2 linked regions of the Coturnix japonica genome follow. The protein of the gene in region 1 purifies or fractionates together with the protein of each later gene. This does not show direct contact. Links are inferred from orthologs where the notes say so. Each region holds a gene or a part of one and is shown in the gene's direction. Other genes may lie near its edges.

Region 1 (5,210 bases):
ATGTGAAGGATTTGTTTTCTTTCTCTGCCTTGCAGAGCTCCAGCTCTCCCTTGAAACAGTCTTCCAGATATAGCGGCTGTTGCTAACACTGAATGAGCCTGTGCTGCACTTGGGCAGCTCTGAGCCTCTGTGTGCTGTGCAGGATTCAGTCAGTGCTGCTTGAGTTTAGCCAGAGCAAGTGAAGCTGGCATGCTTGGGTGGCTTCATCCCACTCATCAAACTATAAATAGTAAATGTAGCCCAAGTGCTTGCTGGGCTGACTTTGGAAGTTTTCTAGGCTCACCTTGGAGGAAGGATCTGTACTGAAGCACATCAGCCCTGGGCAGAGCAGGGCTGGAGGTGGTGATGTACAGGAACCTGCCTGCAAGGTTTGAGGTGGCAGTCAGTACGTATGTCCCTGTCACTGTGGTCCCTGTTGGGTAATATGGGAGGATGTTTAGGAGCAATGGTGCTCCTGGTCCCAAGGATGGGCTGGAGTGGGGCAGCAGCTCTGTGTGACACTTGGATGCATTAACACATCCATCACACATACCTGCTTGCCCTCCCTGCTCTTTGAATTTCAGTCCACCATGCTCAAAGCTACATGCAGTGGATGGTGCTGTGCTCAATGCATCTTTCCAGTGGCTACCTGGCTTCTTGCACCTTATCACAACCACAAGCTCCATCCCATGGACTATTTACATCAGCACACAGCAGAGGGAGGGTTAGCTCTTCCCAGGGCTGCACAGCATGCTTCGGTGCTCCCACCAGCATGAAGCAAAGTGGTTATGCTCTCCCTGCAATCTGCACGACAGTGTGTGCTGGGCTGGGACTATGGGTGCTCAATATAGGGTACAAGGGGAGGGAGGTGTGGGAGCTGGGACAGGGCTGAGAGCAGCGAGGACCTTGGACTGGCCTCCAAGAGGGACTGTGATCATGGTGGAGAAGTGCTTTAGCCTGGAGCATCCTCTGGTGCCAACCTGGGAGTGGGGTGTATGGCTGGGTGGTGCACAGCTCGGGCTGTCAGCTTGTGGCACTGCTTGCTGATGGCTCTCCCAGGTGCTCAGTGCATTTACTGGATCACTTAGGATCAAAAAAGCCTTCCTGGTCGCTATCCAAAAGTAATGCCTCAAAACCAAGCCTTCACGGAAGGGGAATCTCTTACGCAATGGGGGGAGAAGGCTGTGTTGATGCTGATGCTGCCTTTTCAAAAGCTGCTGTTGCGTAAGAGCGAAGCCTTGGGCGGCACAGAAAATGTGGAGAACGTCATTTCCCAAAGAGCTCGATGCAGGATTGCCTCCTGAATTTCTTCCTCGATTCTTATCCAAAACTTCAAGGCTTATGTAAATCCTGCAGGTTCGCTGGCAGTTTGATGCGCTGAGGCTTCAGAGGATGTTTCTGTGCATAGCCCGGGGGTACGACTACTGAGAAGAGTCTCCTCTTTCCTGCGTTGCTATTTTCCAGCTCTAGCTGCCTTAAGCAACACTTAAGAGGCCCCAAACTTTCCAGTATTATCTGCTGGTGGCTACAGGGTGAGAAGATCCGCTGCAGAGAGGCTGGTGGTAAGGCAGGAGGAGGGTAAGAAGCAGCTGCTGGAGGTGTGCTGTTCTCCCAGTGCCCCGTGCAGGTTTTAGTGGATGTCTTTATAGAAGTTGAAGCTGGTCAGTTGGGAGTCCCTGCTTGCAGCTTCATCCTGTCCAAAAAACCAGGAGAAAACCACCATTCTCAGCATGTTCTGATGCTCGGAACCTCTGCTTTGCATGTGCCGAGAGGTGGATGTGCTGGGAGCTTGCTGCAGGGACTGGTTTCAGGTGGCAGCCTTGATTTCCAGAACCCATAGCTTGTATGTTTGTTTTCCAAGTATCTAAGGCTTGAAATCAAATACGCTCCGAGTATTGCCATTTAAATTTCCTTACATTAATCTTAATGCTGGCTGCTAACTGAGACCAGATCTTTCTCAAAACACATCTGGTGACCGGGCACGATTGCAGCCCTCCCTTCTTATGCGTGTGCTTTGCTGGAGAGCTGTGAGGCTCTGCAGGGGGTTTGGAAGCACAGAGAAGGGGCTGAGCTGCTCCTGGGGGTGCATCACGGAGCTGCCAGGCCTGGTTTGGGATCCCACGTTGATGTAGAGGTGGCCTCGGGGGCTCATCTCTGTGTTTATTTTGCCTCAAAAGCGCTCATGGAGGCTCTACCTTCACTTAACCAAATCTTTCTTGGTGAGGTGAGAGTTGTCGTGCAGTTTCCTCTTTATATCCTCTTATGTCACGCCGCCCCGCCGGCTGAGAGCTCTCAAAATAGCTGCCAATCCCTGTAGGTTTCACTTCAAGGTCTCTATTCTTAGCCTGCTGGTTAGCTGAGCAAGCCGCCTTACTCAGTAGTCATGAGTTCAAGGACCGAAGGGTAAAGAATAGCAAAACTTGTGCCATGCAGAAGTTTTGTTTGCGTTTCATGGCAGCTTTGAAGGGACGGCTCGGGCACAGCCCTACCCAGCAGCAGCCTCAGCTTGATGTGCTCAAAGGGTTCCACACCTACGTGAGCATGAAATAAGAGTTGCCGACGTTGGTGTGTGCTCCGGAGGAGGCAGACGGCTCTGCAGACGGGATGACTCAGTGCACGAGAGTTCATTAAGTGCCCTTTTGCATCTGGCCCATCTTCAAGCAGGCTTATCTTACTGCGTCTCGGTGCTGCCCCGATGACCAGATACGTGCACAGCAGGAGTGAAGCAGAAGTGAATGTGGGATGCGGAGCGGTGGCTTCCCAGGAGCGGAACTAGCTGGATGTTCTCAGCCTCAGGGCACAGCTCTGACTCTGTCTGCGGCTCTGGTGATGTTCAGCCCGTCCTGTAAGTGCCTCTCATATCCCTTGGGGGGGTTTTCCTTCCTTGAACAGTGTTGACTCCTGACTGGGGTGGGTTGGCTGAAGGTATTTGGGAGCATCCTTCTCATCACACTGAGTGTTGCCTGCATGGAGCAGAGCTGAAGCTCTGACCCCACTGGGTCCATGCAGGAGCAGGTCAAGTTCTTTGCTGATTTGCTTACCCGTGCTCCATTCTCAGCCCATCAGAGCTTTCTGCAGCCTTGCAGTTGCAAGAGAGGAGCAGGCAGTGGCAGCCCCAGCCGTAGCAGCAGGAGGAGGAGAGACTCAGCTCTCCTGCTTTGCCATTTCTAGCTGTTTCACAGGAAACTGATCACATCTGAAGGTGTTACCCAGATGGGTACGTAGCCCAAAGGACCGACCCTGTGTTAGTCCTTTAGCAGGGCTTATCTGTTTCTTTAGAGCGCATCTCGGGATTGATCTTGCTTTCCAGACTTCCTTTAAATTCCTTCAACTTGTTGAAGCTGCTCGATGCCATCTCTGCTGGGTTTTGATGGGTTCCCAACTGGGGTGGATCTGGCACATTGCATAGAGTGATCAGAGCACAAATGGGCCAGCATTCCACACCCAGAACGTTTGTGGCATGGCAGAACTGAGCTTTCCTGGGGCAGAAGATGGTGGCTGTGACTTTTGCTAAGCACTCTATGCAGGGTTGCTGGGGAGTGAGTGTTGTGTACCAAGCTCACATCCTGCCTGTGCTGTGGGTGATGGTCACGTGCAGGCGAGGCCCTTGTCCTGTGCTTGGTTGCTTCTTTTAAGATGTATTTTTAGGTGCTTTCTGGCTTCCTCTTCCTCCTGCACAGCGCTGCACTCCTTCTTTCTAACTCCCTCTTCTAGGATTGCTTTTTTTGAACAATCAGTTCCTCCTTAAACCTGTTTTTGCAGGCCTTTGTCTGAGCTTGGGAGCTGTCCCAGTTTAGCATTAGCAGCTGCTGGCTCTTTCTGGGTAAGCAAGAACAAATAAAGGTTTAGAGTGAATGAATCATTTGAGCCTTATCTGTCTCAAAGCCGGGACAGCTGTGTGACTGCTGCAGGAGCCTGCAGGGCACAGAGGCTCCTCATTGAGGCACTTCTCCTCCAGTGGTCAGTGCTTAATGGGTTTGTGCTGCTGAGCTTTGACATGGTGAATTCTGCTATGTTCCTTTGAGCTTTATCCCACGCTTGGTTATGAAGCACAGCTCCGGACTAACTCCCTTTCCTTCAAACTTTTGTTATGGGCTCCTAAATAAATTCAGCCTGTAGGATGCTTGAAGTGATTTAACCTGTGGGGAAGGGGGTCAGTGGCTGCCGAGCACGATGGTGGGACCCACATATGGATGCAGTTGAACAGACACAAGGTGCCATGGGGACTGCTGGTGTTTCTGGGGCTCTGTGCTGAAGCTGAGGAGCACAGCCAAGCCTCAGCACTGCAGGAACCGACGTGGCTTTGCTGGTTTAAGAGGCAGGATTTGTAAGATAAGTGGCGTTGGTTTGATAACAGAAATGTGGGAGTAGGGAGGGAGCAGCAGATAAGCCCTAGGCTCGTGCCTCAGAAGTTTTGCTCTGGTTCTAAGGTGGGGATTTACAGTGGAGTTGGTGTTTTGCTGAGATGGAGGGGATGATGCCCGTTCCCCTTCCCCTCCTCCTGCTGTCTCTCTCTTCTGGCAGCCCAGATTAGGCTCAGCTCACTTTCTTCTCTGCCTTAACTGTCACACAGGGCCTTGCTTACAGCACCGGAGCTGTTGAGGAGCGGGTAGGATGAACCAACAGGCTCAGATATGTGACCACATAATGCAAACTCCTCTGAGCAAATCTTCACTGAACACATGCTGTAGTGCCTGCAGGCTCCCTGCAGATGCTGCAAGGTTTTGCTGTGCAATGGGACAAAACGTTTCCTCACTGCAATGCTGGGAACATGAACTGCCCTCTGCTTTGTGGCAGCAGTGGTAAACCTTGCTGTCGACGTGGCAGGAAGAATTAAGGAATTGCAATCAGGGCACAAGTGCACAAAGGCTTGTTAGCACACTGACTCTCCACTGGAAGACTGTAGGTTGCACAGAGCTTTGCTTGGAGCCCCAGCAGTGTGTGTTCAGGGCCATGGGCTTCTGTAGTGTCAATGATTCCTTGGGCCTCCCAGAGATGGGCATTGATGGCTGGGGCTCATGGCACGAAGCAAAGCAAACAGGGTTTGTACAGCCCTTACAGAGCTGTGCTGGAACCTGCTTTTCTAGTATGACAGACCAGGTCTCAGTTGTTCTGCCTCCTTAAAGCAAGCGTGCGCTCAAAGTGGGTTTGGCTTTTCTGCCTATAACTAATTTTTTAGCCATTAGGTAGATTGGGATAAAAGTCCCCGCTGGATTTGTTGTTGTGAAGCT
Region 2 (4,479 bases), on another chromosome or scaffold:
CCACCCACAGCAGGGGCCAAAAAGCCATACAGCTTCCCTCCCGAGTGCAATACTGCGTTCCTCCTTCCTCCCCCCCACCATGGGGAAGAGCCACGTACTGAGCCAGGGCTCCCAGCATCCAGCCCTACCTGGGGGGGTTTGGGATTAAGCCAGCAGCGTGTTGCCCACTGCATCCCACTCGACCCCATAGGATGGTGCACGGTCAACGCTCACCCTCCCCATGAGCTTCCCACCCCCCGGTCCATCGCTATGGGGCTCTGATGGAGGGGATGGGCCCCTTCCCCCTGTGCAAAGGGCTTTGAGCCTGGTAGGATTCTGCCTTTTACTTTTGTAACAAAATAAAGATTTTCCCATTTCCTGTCTGTCCGTGTGGTGCTGGGCTCCATCCCACATCCCTCACTGCAGCTGTGTGAGTTCATGGGTGCTCTGAGGGTGGTGGGTGGCCATTGACCCCTCCCCAGCAGGGCACAGAGCTGGGGCTCTTCCTTCACCCCCCCTTAACTCACACCAAAACCAGTAGAGCAGAATATTTCTGCAGCTCCTGCTCAGCTCTTTGCCACCAACATTTGGCAGCAGCTCGGTGCTTCTGGCAGCACCCAAACCCACGAGCTCCATGCTGTGCCCTGGGGGGGACCTGCCCCCATACACAGCCCCATTTGTGGTCTCTCCTATGGGGTAGGGGGCAGAAGTGCATTCTGTTCAAAACCACAGCCCCTGTGCATCCATGAGGTCGAGCAGTGCTCACGGGGGGTCCACTTTGAGCCCCAAACTCAACAGCCCCCACCATGTGGCTGGATGGGGACTGGGACCGCATAAGCTTGGGACCAAGAGCTGCCAGCCCTGAGCAACCCCAATGGGGAGAGGATGTCAGGGATGGGGCTGAGGGTGCTGGCACAGCGCTGGTGAAGCCCTTGGCTCCATCCCCACGTGCTGCCCGCCGCACCCTGCCCTGTGCCGGCGTGTGGGAACAGGCTGAGAGCGAAACTGCAGCGCAACGCCGAGCTCAGATCCTAATCGGGGCCGCCAGCGCTGCTGGGCAGAACTCGAATCAAAATGAGACTGACAAAAAAGAAGGAATAATAATCCCAATTCTTCCAGTACAGCGTAAAGGGAGAGAAAAGAGCCCCGGTGGGATGAGCGGAGAGGGTGGGGGACATGGGGATGGGTGGTGGAGAAGCCTTAATGGGGATCCAGTGGGGTTTGTGGGTGTGGAGCTGCCTTGGGTTTGGGGATGTCCAATGATGGTTCAATGGGGGGGTTGGGGTTGAGTACTTGCAAGTGCCAGGGCAATTCCCCCTGAGCAGGCAGGGTGGAGGAGTTGGGAATGCCCCAATCCCAATCCTGGCCCTGATCCCTGCAGCAGTGCTGGGGTAACGTGCTGCTCCTCCTGCCTCGATTTCCCCACCAGTGGGAATAAATACCAGCCCTTCAAGCCCTTGCAATCACCGACAAGTTAATCATCATATAAAAATGACAGCGATGGGATTTTTGGGGAGGAGACCATTTTTACAGCCAGGTTTATTCCCCGTGCTGTTTCTCTAAGGGTGGTTGGGATGGGGGCACTGGGTGCTGCCGCTTTCCTGCTTCACCCCAATGTGACGACCCCACTGCTCCCTGTTCTGAGCACTCCTGGCAGATGGGGAAGGGTTCCCCCATTGGTCCATGGTCCCCCATTGATCTGGGATCTCCATTGATTCCTGGTCTCCCATTTATTTGGGGTCCCCCATTGATCCGGTTTCCCCCATTAACTCAGGGTCCCCCATTGATCTGGGGATCCCATTGACTGATCCCAAGTCTTCCAAGTATTTGGGGTTTCCCATTGATTTCGGGATCCCACTGATTCCAGGTCTCCCGTGGGTCTGGGTATCCCATTGATCCAGGCTCTCCCACTGGTTCAGGCTCCCCCACTGATCTGGAGTCCCCACTGATTCTAGGTCTCCCATTCATTTGGGGTTTCCCATTGATCCGGGGTCCCCAGTTGATCTTCCCTCCTCCATTGTTTCAGAGTCTCCCACTGACATAGGATGTCCCATTGATCCAGACTTCTCCATTGATCCAGTGGGACATCCCATTGACACAGGGGGGGCTCACCATGAACTCCCTGAACACATCCTCTCCCTCCCGGCACCCACCTGATCCAGGGCAGGGTGGGTGCCACCCGCTCACCCCTTCCCCATCACCCTGTGCCTCGGGGCATGATGACTCACGGCAATTTGCTTTTTAAGGGCGGGCTCTGCGGGGAGGAAGCAGAGGAGGAGGAGGCCGCTCCTTCAGCCTCGTTGGCTCCTCCTGCTCTTGCTCGGGGCTCCGACGCTCAGCCAAAAGCGAATCGGGGCGGTGAAGCTCAGCAGAGGCTCCGACGGCTCCCGGCCCCACTCCTCGTCTCATCCTGCTCCTCATCCGCCCTCAGCCATGGCAAGAAACCACCAAGTGCAGAAAGCCAAGCTGGCCGAGCAGGCTGAGCGCTATGAGGACATGGCGGACTTCATGAAGGCGGTGGTGGAGCATGGAGACGAGCTGTCCAACGAGGAGCGCAACCTCCTCTCCGTCGCCTATAAGAACGTGGTGGGCTGCCAGCGCTCGGCGTGGAGGGTCATCTCCAGCATCGAGCACAAAACCGAGGAGGGAGACGACAAAGCGCAGCTGGTGAATGAATACAGGGAGAAGGTGGAAGAGGAGCTGAAGGGCGTCTGCAACGTGGTGCTGGGCTTGCTGGAGAAGCACCTCATCAAGAAGGCCGGAGATGCAGAGAGCAAAGTGTTCTACCTGAAGATGAAGGGAGACTATTACCGATACCTGGCTGAGGTGGCCTCCGGCAACGACCGCAAGGAGACGATCGACAGCGCCCAGAAGGCGTACCAAGAGGCCATGGACATCAGCAAAAAGGAGATGCAGCCCACGAACCCCATCCGCCTGGGGCTGGCCCTCAACTTCTCCGTCTTCCACTACGAGATCGCCAACGCCCCCGAGCAGGCCATCTCGCTGGCCAAGACCACCTTCGACGAGGCCATGGGGGACCTGCACACGCTCAGCGAAGACTCCTACAAGGACAGCACCCTCATCATGCAGCTGCTCAGGGACAACCTGACGCTATGGACAGCCGAGTGCGCGGGTGAAGACGGCGGCGAGGCTGGCGAAGAGCCCAAGAACTGAACGGCCCCCAATGCAGCTGGGGTCCATCCCCCACCTCCTTCCTCCTCCCCTCCCTCCCAGACTCCCCCCCCTTTCCCCTTCCCCTTCCCGAAGCCCTTCGGTGTCTTTTCCTTTTGTTTTGTTCCTTTTTTAAGGAGTGGGGAAGGTATTTCGCCCCCCCACCCTTACCCCCCCTCCAGTTCTGGGAGTGGGGTCCATATGTTTGCCCTTTGGCAGGGCCTCCCCTTTCCTTCTCCCCCCCCCCATGTTCTTGTCATGCTCCCCTCACCCCTTTAACACTTTGTTTGGGGGATACCCCAGCGTAGCTTAGGGGGGGCCCTAGCCCTCTGTCTTGGGGGGCTAGAGCCGTGCCGCTGGTCCCTTGGGGGCAATGGGAGGAGGTGATGGGACGGGATGGGGAGAAAGGGGAGGGGGGGGGTTGATGTGCCCCCCACCCGGATGGAGGATTGCGAATTGCCGAAGCCTCTGTGTGGCTCCAATAAACCATCTCGTGCACGTCTGCCTCTGTGGTCGCCTCATCTCTCCTGTCGTGCACAAGCCCAGGCAGCTCCTGCAGCTCCCACAGCCGGTCCCATTGCGTGCCACGCCATGCTGGGGAGCACTCGGGGCCTCCAAAGTGCAGGTCTGGCTGCCTGCAGCCCCTCCCAGCCCCGCCATGGGGTGTGGGGGTACTCAGCCAGCCCCAGACCTCAGGGACGGGTCTCAGAATGGGCTTTCTAGGTGGGTTTTCCATAGGGAGAGTATGTCCCAGGTCTCCAGCCCTGCAATTGTATGTCCCCATTCCCATGGTGTCTCCATCCCTTTGGTTTTCCCATTCTTGTACTGTCCTCATCCCCAAGATGTTCCTATGGTGTCCCCACCCCCATAGTATTTCCATCCCCGTAGGGTTTCCATCCCCATGGTGTCCCCATTCCATAGTGTCCCCATCCTCATAGTGTCCCTATCCTCATTATGTTTCCACCCTTATGGTCTTCCCATCCCTATGATGTCCCCATCCCTACAATGTCCCCATCCCCATCTTGATGTCCCCACCTCCATGATATCTCCATCCCCATGGTGTCCCCACCCAAACCACGCAACCCACAGTGTCCCAAACCCCATTACTGGGGCTCCGTGCAGACAGGGGGATGTTTCAGCTCTTCCCCTCCAGCACTGACACGGAGCTGTCACAGGGGAGGTGACAGCATCCCACCGAGGTGAGGACATCCCCATGGAGGTGTGGATGTGCCGGCGCTGGAGAAAGCTCAGCACTTCTGGCCCTGGCTCTCAGCCACAGCGAAGGGTGCAGCTCTGGGAGCGCGAGTTTCAACACGAACAGTTAATTAC

What was found. Proteins that work in one complex are often made in the same cells at the same time.
Region 2: the proteins of HDAC7 (region 1) and SFN purify together in Homo sapiens (affinity purification with mass spectrometry; 3 studies listed by BioGRID and IntAct, with this or other methods). This does not show direct contact. The link is inferred for Coturnix japonica from reciprocal best matches to the Homo sapiens genes HDAC7 and SFN.

The regions. Positions count from the first base shown.
Region 1 is NC_029544.1:425,020-430,229, forward strand, and holds the start of HDAC7 (histone deacetylase 7), read left to right. Parts: upstream 1-2,089; 5' UTR 2,090-2,721; coding exon 2,722-2,824; intron 2,825-5,210. UniProt on the Homo sapiens protein: Responsible for the deacetylation of lysine residues on the N-terminal part of the core histones (H2A, H2B, H3 and H4).
Region 2 is NC_029538.1:1,604,343-1,608,821, forward strand, and holds SFN (14-3-3 protein sigma), read left to right. Parts: upstream 1-2,259; 5' UTR 2,260-2,412; coding exon 2,413-3,153; 3' UTR 3,154-3,652; downstream 3,653-4,479. UniProt on the Homo sapiens protein: Adapter protein implicated in the regulation of a large spectrum of both general and specialized signaling pathways. Binds to a large number of partners, usually by recognition of a phosphoserine or phosphothreonine motif.